Linked DNA regions of Rattus norvegicus. The protein of the gene in region 2 binds, or shares a complex with, the protein of the main gene of each other region. Each region holds a gene or a part of one and is shown on either strand. Other genes may lie near its edges. The genes, in order: S100a1 and Capza2. A codon is read from its position in the direction of its gene.

The links.
Region 1: the proteins of Capza2 (region 2) and S100a1 are in contact, whole or in part, in an NMR structure (PDB 2KBM), measured with the Rattus norvegicus proteins. Residues at the interface, in NP_001009180.1 of Rattus norvegicus: Thr267, Lys268, Ile269, Asp270, Trp271, Asn272, Lys273, Ile274, Leu275, Ser276; in NP_001007637.1 of Rattus norvegicus: Ser44 (codon at 796), Phe45 (codon at 793), Leu46 (codon at 790), Asp47 (codon at 787), Lys50, Asp51, Ala54, Lys57, Ile58, Glu61, Leu78, Ala81, Leu82, Thr83, Ala85, Cys86.

The regions. Positions count from the first base shown.
Region 1 is NC_086020.1:178,293,293-178,297,551, forward strand, and holds the start of S100a1 (protein S100-A1), read right to left. Parts: upstream 3,055-4,259; 5' UTR 2,914-3,054; intron 939-2,913; 5' UTR 926-938; coding exon 785-925; intron 1-784. UniProt on the Homo sapiens protein: Small calcium binding protein that plays important roles in several biological processes such as Ca(2+) homeostasis, chondrocyte biology and cardiomyocyte regulation.
Region 2 is NC_086022.1:46,942,366-46,946,859, reverse strand, and holds the start of Capza2 (F-actin-capping protein subunit alpha-2), read right to left. Parts: upstream 2,821-4,494; 5' UTR 2,764-2,820; coding exon 2,725-2,763; intron 1-2,724. UniProt on the Homo sapiens protein: F-actin-capping proteins bind in a Ca(2+)-independent manner to the fast growing ends of actin filaments (barbed end) thereby blocking the exchange of subunits at these ends.

The DNA.
Region 1 (4,259 bases), on a different chromosome or scaffold from region 2:
ACACACACACACACACACACACACATATATATGAGTGGACATACACATACTAAGGTTCTTTTGTGGAGGGCAGCTTGTGGGAGTTAGTTCTGTCTTGACTATGTGGATCTAACTCAGGTTCTTATGCTTGGTGGCAAGCTGAACCATCTCAAAAGTCCACTTTTGAGTCAGTTTCACTCACTATTTAGTCCAGGATGGTCTCAAACACATGATCATCCTCTTGCCCCAGTCTCCCAAGTGTTGGGATTATAAGTGGGAGCTACCATGCTTAGTTTTGTGGCTTATTTATTTTAATTTTACAACTTTTTTTTTTTGAGACAGGTTCTCACTACATAGTCCAGGCTGGCTCAAAATTCTAGAGAACTGATTGGCTCTGCCTCTTGAATGCTGGGATTAGGCATGCATCATCACACTGGGTCGACTTCCTTCCTTCCTTCATTTCTTCTTTTTCTTTCTTGTGTCAAGGGCTCACATAGACCAGGCTGTCTTTGAACTACTGATCCCTCCTGCCTCTACTTCTGAGTGCTAGGATTGAAGGTATATGCTACTCTGCTCGGCCCTTCATGACCCCATTCTGTGCTGTGGATAGCATTATTGACGAATTTGCAGAGCCTAGTATTGAAGGGGCATTTTAACTTTTCCAGGGAGGAGCTAAGGGAGCCTGGAACACCTAGCTAAGACTGGAAGAAGAGGATGGTTGGAAGAGGTGAGCTAGGGGTGAGGCAAGGATAGGGCAGGGGCACCCACCCCCTTCCTCCACCCTGTATCTCAATCCTCTGCTTACATCCAGGAAGCTGGAGAGTTCAGTTTGTAGCAGGTCTTTCAGCTCCTTCTTGCTCAGCTTATATTTGTCCCCTTCCTTGCCCGAGTGGGCATGGAACACATTGATGAGGGTCTCCATGGCGGTCTCCAGCTCAGAGCCCATTTCAGCAGCACACCTATGTGTTCCCACAATGATGGAAGTGAATTATTGTAAACTAGATTCAGAAAATCTGGGATCTGGCCCTGATCTCACAGCTCAAACAGCTACAAGATGAGCCCCAATGTACTTTATCTTTCCTTCAGATTTTGCAATGTAGGAGTAACCCTAGCACACCTAGATCCGGTGCAGTGTTTTGGGTCCCTCCATCATTTCCCAGTCAGAGGGAGTCAGGCATGAGCATGGAGATGAAGCAATAGGAACTGGACTGTCTTTGGAAGCCTGTGGAAGATATCTGCAGTGGCTGGCTCCAGGCTGGGGAGCAGGAGGGGAGGCATGGGTAGACACCGGACCAGGCAGGCTTTAAGCTCTATTTTTACCTTCCAGGCCTGTCACAGCTAAGCTTTGCTGTTGATATTAAGTGGGCTGAGATCTCCTCTGCTTACCCAGGAAGAAGTCTAATACCTTTGGTGAGCTGATGGAGGGGTGACAGTCAGGGGGTGAGACCCAAGAGTTGTTGGGGAGAGGTGTCTTACTGTTCCCAAGCTTTCTGTCAGCCAGTGTGGCTCTTCCTCTCTTTAGACCCTGAGGATTAAGTCCAGGTCCTTTTGGCTTTATCGCCATCTTTTTGTGCTTGGGATTTATTTTTTGATAACAGCCTATGCTGTCCTGGAACTATCTCAAGCAGACCCTCAACATATGGGCAGTCCTGTCTGTCTCCTTGTGCTGAGACGCTGGTCCAAACGAGCCATTATGCCTGGCTCCCCCTCTCCCCACAAGTATGTCATTTTGGCTTCTTTTCGGGGGAACATGACTGCCTGGTCTAGTCCTTTTCTCTGCAAAGTCGCTGCTTTCCATCAGGTAGGTAGAAGGAAGGGAGAGGAAATGTCTCCCTGATGCTGTCCATTCCTGCCTTGGGCAAGCTCTGGTTTGGTAGCTACAGTGGGAGCAGGATAGGGCTGGTTTGTGTTGGATAAAGGGCTGAATGTATGAGGTCATTTGAGCTCAAGGGCTGGGTGAAAGTGGAAGAATGGAGAGGTCTTTCAAGAAGAGACTACTGGCTAGGGGGCCTCAGTCCTTTGGCCCGGGAGGGTCATGCCTTCCATAGCCTCAGGGGCAGCTCAGGTGTCTCAGCTCAGGTGTCCTCATCTTTCCTCACCACTGAGTATACTGGACAATGGGTCCTGATTAGATGACATCCCAGCTCTTCAATGGAGCCCTTGTGACTGTCACCTGAACTCCAGTCACAAGAAGCAGTTGTTACAGAGACAGTGGGAGAGAGAATTCAAGCGGGGCTGATCAAAGGGATAAGAGAGTGCTCAAGGGAGGAATTTGGATGGCTCAGTTACCATTCTCATCTGTGGGGGGGCATCTGGAGGTTGCCTGGAACCCTCTAGCAGCTTGGAGGGTTTATGTAGGGGAGGACCTACAGTTGGAGCAGTGGGAAACAAAGAGAAAAAATGAGGAGAGAGAGAAGTGGGGGTCAAGGGGTCAAAGAAGGGATAGAGAGGAAGTCTTGTGAAGGCACACTGCCACAGACCCCCTTCTTTATGATATCACATGGCGTATGCTCCACGACTCAGAGCCTAGTTCTTGAGAAGGCAGAGGGTGAGGATGGAGATGGGGCAGGGACAGCCTTTCTTATTCTTACCTTAAAGGAACAGGGCTGCCTTCCCTCCCTGCCCACACCTATAGAATGGCATCCCTGGCAGGAGACACAGGATTCTGTGTAGGAAGGCCTGGTAGCCCTGAAGTTGGGTGGCATCTTCATTCACCACAGGCTCCCAGCTCTCTGACCTTCACTCACCAACTCTCACTATTTTCCAAACTTCATCTCCCCTAGTTCCCGAGCTGCTCTTTCCCTGGACTGATTCCTCCCAGACCCCGGTGACACCACAGTATCCTTTTCCAGAACTCTTGGGTGTCTTCTGAAGTTTCTTTTCCTCCAGGTTGGCTCAGCCAGAGACTTATCCTAAGCAGGGTAGGATACTCACGGTTGGCCTCGGCCTGACGTCGGAGCAGGTTCTTGACAGAAGGGCGCGCTGCAAATGTTGCCCCGGAGCAGTGTGGGGAGACCTGTCTTTACTGCCGACCCTCCTCCCGACGGCTCCACCCCTTCACAAACGACACCCGAAGGGCTAGGGCCAGGAGTGGACAGAGGCGCCCTCTGTCTCCCAGGAGGGAATGGATGTCTGCTGTTTCTTTCCACTCTTGCTTGCACCACCTCCCCGAATCTTGCGTGAAGGAGGTGAAAGAGAAGGAGGTCGTGGGAAGGGTGCTGTGGTGCTGGGTGCTGCGGTACCGGCTGAGCAGGGAAAGGGAAGGATTCTGCCCAGGAGTGCTTAGCCTGTGCGTCTCCAAGAGGGGCTTCTGTCTTAGAACTCAGTGGAGAATTTCAATAGGGGTCCCACTACGGGGCTTTAGTTTGGGGCTCTCCAAGTGCCTTTGGACCTCGAGTTTCTCAGAAGGGGCTTCCCAGTGCTGATTTCCCCAAGTACATTTGGTTTTGTTTTGTTTTTAATTTTTTCAAGCAGCAGCAGCAGCAGCAGCAGCAGCAGCAGCAGCAGCAGCAGCAGCAGCAGCAGCAGTCCCTTCTAACACAGACTCCCGAGTAGCACTCATAATTGGGAGAGATAAGGGACCCTATGATCCCTCCTCAGTCTCAAAAACCATATTTTGAGTGTCCCAGTCGCGAGGCGCTGTGGTGGGGTGGCTAGTGACAGCAGGGGCGGTCTCCTCTCTCGAATCAGCGGAGGCGGAAACTTGACACTTTGGACTTGGGAGTGGCTTTCTCCTTTCCCTGGTGCTTAAAAACTTCAGCCTCAGGGCTCCAGATCGGTTAGCTGCATCCCATCTTCTTGCCCCGGTGAGTTACTCTTTCTGACTCTGCAGAGAGCCTGGAGACCTTCTTTTCTTTATCAGCTCCCGGGTCCCTCCTTCCAAGCGGGCTCAGGCAGAGATTAGTCAGGAAGTGACTTTAGGAAAGCAAGCAACGGTCCTTGCAGGATTATGTGGGACATAAATGACGGACGGACATAAATGAGGGGGATGAGTAGGCATGTTTCTTCCGTTCCTGGACCCCCGTGGGCCCTGGTGTCCAGGCCAAACACTTTGTGGGTTGCGGACTTGAGTTTGGAGAGCTCCTTTCTAGACCTTGTCAACCATGGACAGTAGCGGGGAAGGTCGATGGGTTCTTGTGCTGAGCACACTCCGACCCCCTTAGCCAGAGGTAGGGAGGGTATGGGGCAGAGAAGATGGCCCGATTGAGCCAGCCCTGACTTCAATTGTGCCTTTGCCAGCCCTAGACTTCTCTACCAGGAACAGTAACCAGTATGTGGGG
Region 2 (4,494 bases):
CCACTCGATATACTGTTCCAGGCTCACTAATGCTGCAGTACCAAGAGCAGCCGCCATAGAAGTGTGCTCACTGGTCCAGGGAGAAAACTCTCTCAACTATTACTGTCCTCCTTCAGCAGAGTTTGAGAATGGTTCTCTTTGAGCTCTATATAACAATTTCATACAGTGTCAAATTCACGAAAATGCTTTATTATACAATTCAAATGAACTAAGAAAGAATAAGAAAGAAAAACTCTTTCTGGCTTGGAGTTTCTATAACTATGTAAAATTTACAGAGTCACACTATGACAAATTAATGCTGTTAAGGAACTTCATAGTTTCTTCAGCTAAATTTACTTCCTTATTAACACTGTGGCCAAAAGAAATTAAGCCATAAAAATCACAGTACATTCAGCCTAGTGTCCTAGATACTTTCCCCCTTCTGTTTGTTTGTTTTTGAGAGAGAGTTTCCCTGTGTAGCTCTGACTGGCTCGTAACTCAGAAAATCAAGCTAAACTTGGTCGGACTGAAACTTTTTCCTCCTGATCAGCCTTCAGGGTAGTGGGATTACAGGTATGCCTACAACGCCCAGTCAATCTCTTTCTGTTGTTGCTTTCTATAGGCTGGCCTCAGACCTAGAGATCCTCCAGCCCCAGTTTCCTCAGTACTTAGATTACAAATCTGCTCTGCCACACCCAACTACGAATTTCTAAAATGTCTCATCTCACAGGACCAGTAAGAAACTATAAAGCAGCAGCACACAATGTTCACATTACATAAAAATAAACTTCTTTTTAAAAGTGATGAAAACAGAAGTTTACCAGTTAACATTTTCACTAAGTATAAAACATAAATTTAGAACCTACAAAGAACCACTGCTTCCTTTTTAAAAATAAACAAATTGAAAACCAAGATATAAAACCAGGATAGTTCTACAATCAACTTCAAGGGAACATAATGTCATTAAGTATGCAAGCAAACCTGAATTCTGACAAACTTAGGTTTAAAGTTCACCTCTGCCATTTCCCTCCTATATAAGGCTTTTAAAATCTTAATTTACTTACAGGTAAAGGGTAATAAAACTATCTACTTCAAACTTAAAAAAGAAAATGCAACCTATTTTTCTTATGTGATAAGCACATACAAACTACAGTATTACACATCATAGTACCTCCCCTTCTTTAGACCTAAAATCTAAACAAAAACTCAAGTGTAAAAAGTATTTAAAACTTACTCCTGAAAATCACAAGCAAGGAAATAACAATAGAGAAGCATGATTTAAGAACTGGTCTTAAATATTACAATTGAATCCATTTCTGATCCATATGGAACACCCTCCTTCTAAAACAGTACAAGTCTACTGGGTAATAAAAGTGACAAGAACACTGTTTTCAATTTACTGGGTTATTTAAATTTCACTAGAAAGTTAAGCCACTGATTTCTTCAATTTAGAAAATACTGTTATAAAATCTGAATGTGAATCCCACCCTAAGAATTCTCTTCTCACTATCTTCCAAGTCAATTGAGCGCTTAAAAAGTACATGAAAGAAAACAAAACATGAAAAAAAATCCCTCCAAGAACTTTCAAACATTATTTTTCCTGTAGTGTGCACTGGTATATTTTCAATTAACAGCTTAACACTATTCAATGTTACTGTACAGCAACTTTTATGGACTTAAGAGTCTAACTCTGTGAATTAAAGTATGTTTGCCCCCATTTTGTTAGGTTATCTACCCTTAGTGGTTCTCTAACACCCAACTAAAATTGAGTATGTTTCCCACACCGGTGTACTTTATCTGGAACTTAAAAACTAAGCTAAGGTCAGACATTTCCAAAGTGCACCACACTCATGTCAGTCAAGTCTTAAGTTTCAAAAAACGTCTCGGTCTTTTCCAGAAAATATTCAAAATGTATAGAGTTCCCCTCACAGTACTCGCCCCTAGGTATGAGGTCGCCCTCAGTCGCCAAAGAAAATGGGCAAGAGTCTCAGTTCAATCAGATTTCGTATCACAAATGTGAGAACTTGAGTCCTGCATTTGGTCCCAGTGCTGTCACAGCATTTAACACACAGTAAAAGGAGTTGCACCCGCTCGCCCTCTTCGGAGTTGGTCCTATCAGGAAGATGGGATGTCACCAAATCTGCCCCAAGGGGGGGAAGCGGCCAAGTTGGACAGAAAACAACTATTGGGGGGAGGTGTCTTTGTGAACAATACTGCCTTCCGGGGAACATGGGAGCAGCAATTAAAAAAAAAAAAGGTAATGACAATATTAATAAAAGAAATGGATGGCAGGGGGTTGGAGGGAAAGGGGGCGGGATGTAGAAACTGCGACCTCCAGAGGGAAGGAAACACCCTGGAGAACCAGGAAGCACTTCGCGTTGGGGAGGAGAAACTGCAGGAAAAAGTGAGGGTCGGCTAAGCCGTTTCCCCCTCCCGCCCGCCTCACGGCGAAAGCCCCAGGCCAGGCGGCGCCGCTCCGCTGTCGGCCGCTCCCCAGCCCGGACCCCTAGGGCCCGGTCCCGCCACCCCCGCTCCGGCCCGCGGCCGCCCGGCTCCGCTTCCTATTTTCGGAGCACACACCCTACAAGGAGCGGAGGGGCCCGGCCTCCGGGAGCCGAGGCAGCACCCCGCTCGAGAGGCGCAGGCGTGCGGCCCACCACCAGAGCCCGCCCGGGGTCAGATTCCAGCCCTTGCGTCTCAGCTCTCGGTCCCGTCCGCCCTGCTCTTCACCGCCGCGGCGCCTACCTTCTCCTCATCGGACAACTGCTCCTCCAGATCCGCCATCTTCCTTCTGGCGACAAACCGTGGCGCTGGTGGCAGCAGCGGCCACCTGACTTCCCCCTTTCCGTGCGGTCTTCCGCGCCGCGCGCCCCCGCCAAGGGAGGGGCCCGCCGCCCAGGCCGCCGCGCACGCGCCCCGGAGCTCCGCCTCCCGGATCCAAGCCACTGCGCACACGCCCGGGAGCTCCGCCTTCCTCAAGCCGCCGCGCACGCGCCCCAGAGCTCCGCCTCCCTCCCCTGATCGCAGGCCTGAGCGCCACTGTGCGCGTGCGCAGCGCCTCCAAAGTCGGATTGCTATGGTATCTTCTGTCATCCTGCTCTGGTGCCTTCTCTACCCAATGATGACCATATGGACCAGGTTGGCGATGAGTACATTCTGAGCCCATGACTTTGTTCCCACCAAGTCCTGAACGCTGCCAACAAAAAATGTGAAAAGCTGTACCAATTTAAAACATTTTTAAGTATTAGGAAAAATACTGTTTTAATTAAAATAGGCACACACAATCCAGTCCATAATTGAAAGATTACTTTTGATATATTCATTTATTCATCCAAAACTATTTATTGGTCTTTTATAATAGGAAGGCCCTGGTGCTAGTTCTTAGGAATAAGAAAAGGAGGAAAAAAAAAAACCCAGACAAACCTAAATCCCAGAGAAACTGCTCTTAAGCTCACCTCTATTAATTAGACATTAAGTTAGGGAAGGCATTGTACTCTTGGAAGGAAATAAAATGTTAAGTTAGCCTTGGATGTGTACCCTCATGAACTGGCTATCCAGAATACTTACAGGACATTCACTAGAAATTTCAATTTCATGCAACCAATTTTTAGGTAAATATCCTATGAAGGATTTGAAACATTCTAAAAACATTATTTATTGTTTTCACATTTTACTGGCTGTCTCATTTTTATTTGCTAAATCTGGCAGCTCTACTACTGAAGCTTCAATTATTAAAAAAAAAAAAAAAGTAAGGATGAAGTCAAAGCTGACACAAGAAGCAGCCAGAAACATTGTTAAAATTGAGTTGCTAGTTCAGTAGACCTGAGTGGACCAGAGAATCTATATTTCTTACAGGTTCCCAAGTACGAGGAGTGCTATTCATCTGAAAACTACCCTTTGTTTGTGGAGGACTTAGAATTTAGCTAGGAGTTAAGACTTTAATAATTAGAAAGTGAGAAGCCATTGAAGGCATTCGGACAGTGTCACGACATGAACGGAACATGCTTGGCAGTGTCAGTCTGACAGCTGTGTGTAAATAACAGGTAAGAGTGCCCTTAAGAGTTCAAATAGCTATTTGGGTCCAAAAACACTATCATTAAGTGACTTACTAAAGTGTTCGTTTGCAGAACAGAAGAGGAAGCTGACACTCGAGGGAGCTGAAAGTGTCCAGTTGAAGATAAACCCATGGAGACAGTATGCAAGTTAATAAAGTACAGTGTCTGGCCAAAACTCTCAGGAGCGACAAATCAATATCAATTTCCTCTTTTATAGTTTCTAAACCCTCGCTTTATTTATTGCTCCCGGCAATTGTGTGTGCTCAAGTATTACTGTACCTCCAAACCAAAGTTCAGTAATTTAACCAACGCTGCATGCTCCCACATGACTGAATCCTAGGCATTTTTTCAACATCCCATATTCTTTCCACTGCCAGAACTTTCTCCCTTTCTCCACAGAATAAAACTTAATGGAGGTACCCTCTCTGGCATGCCAGCAATCCAGTTCACAGCACCTGCT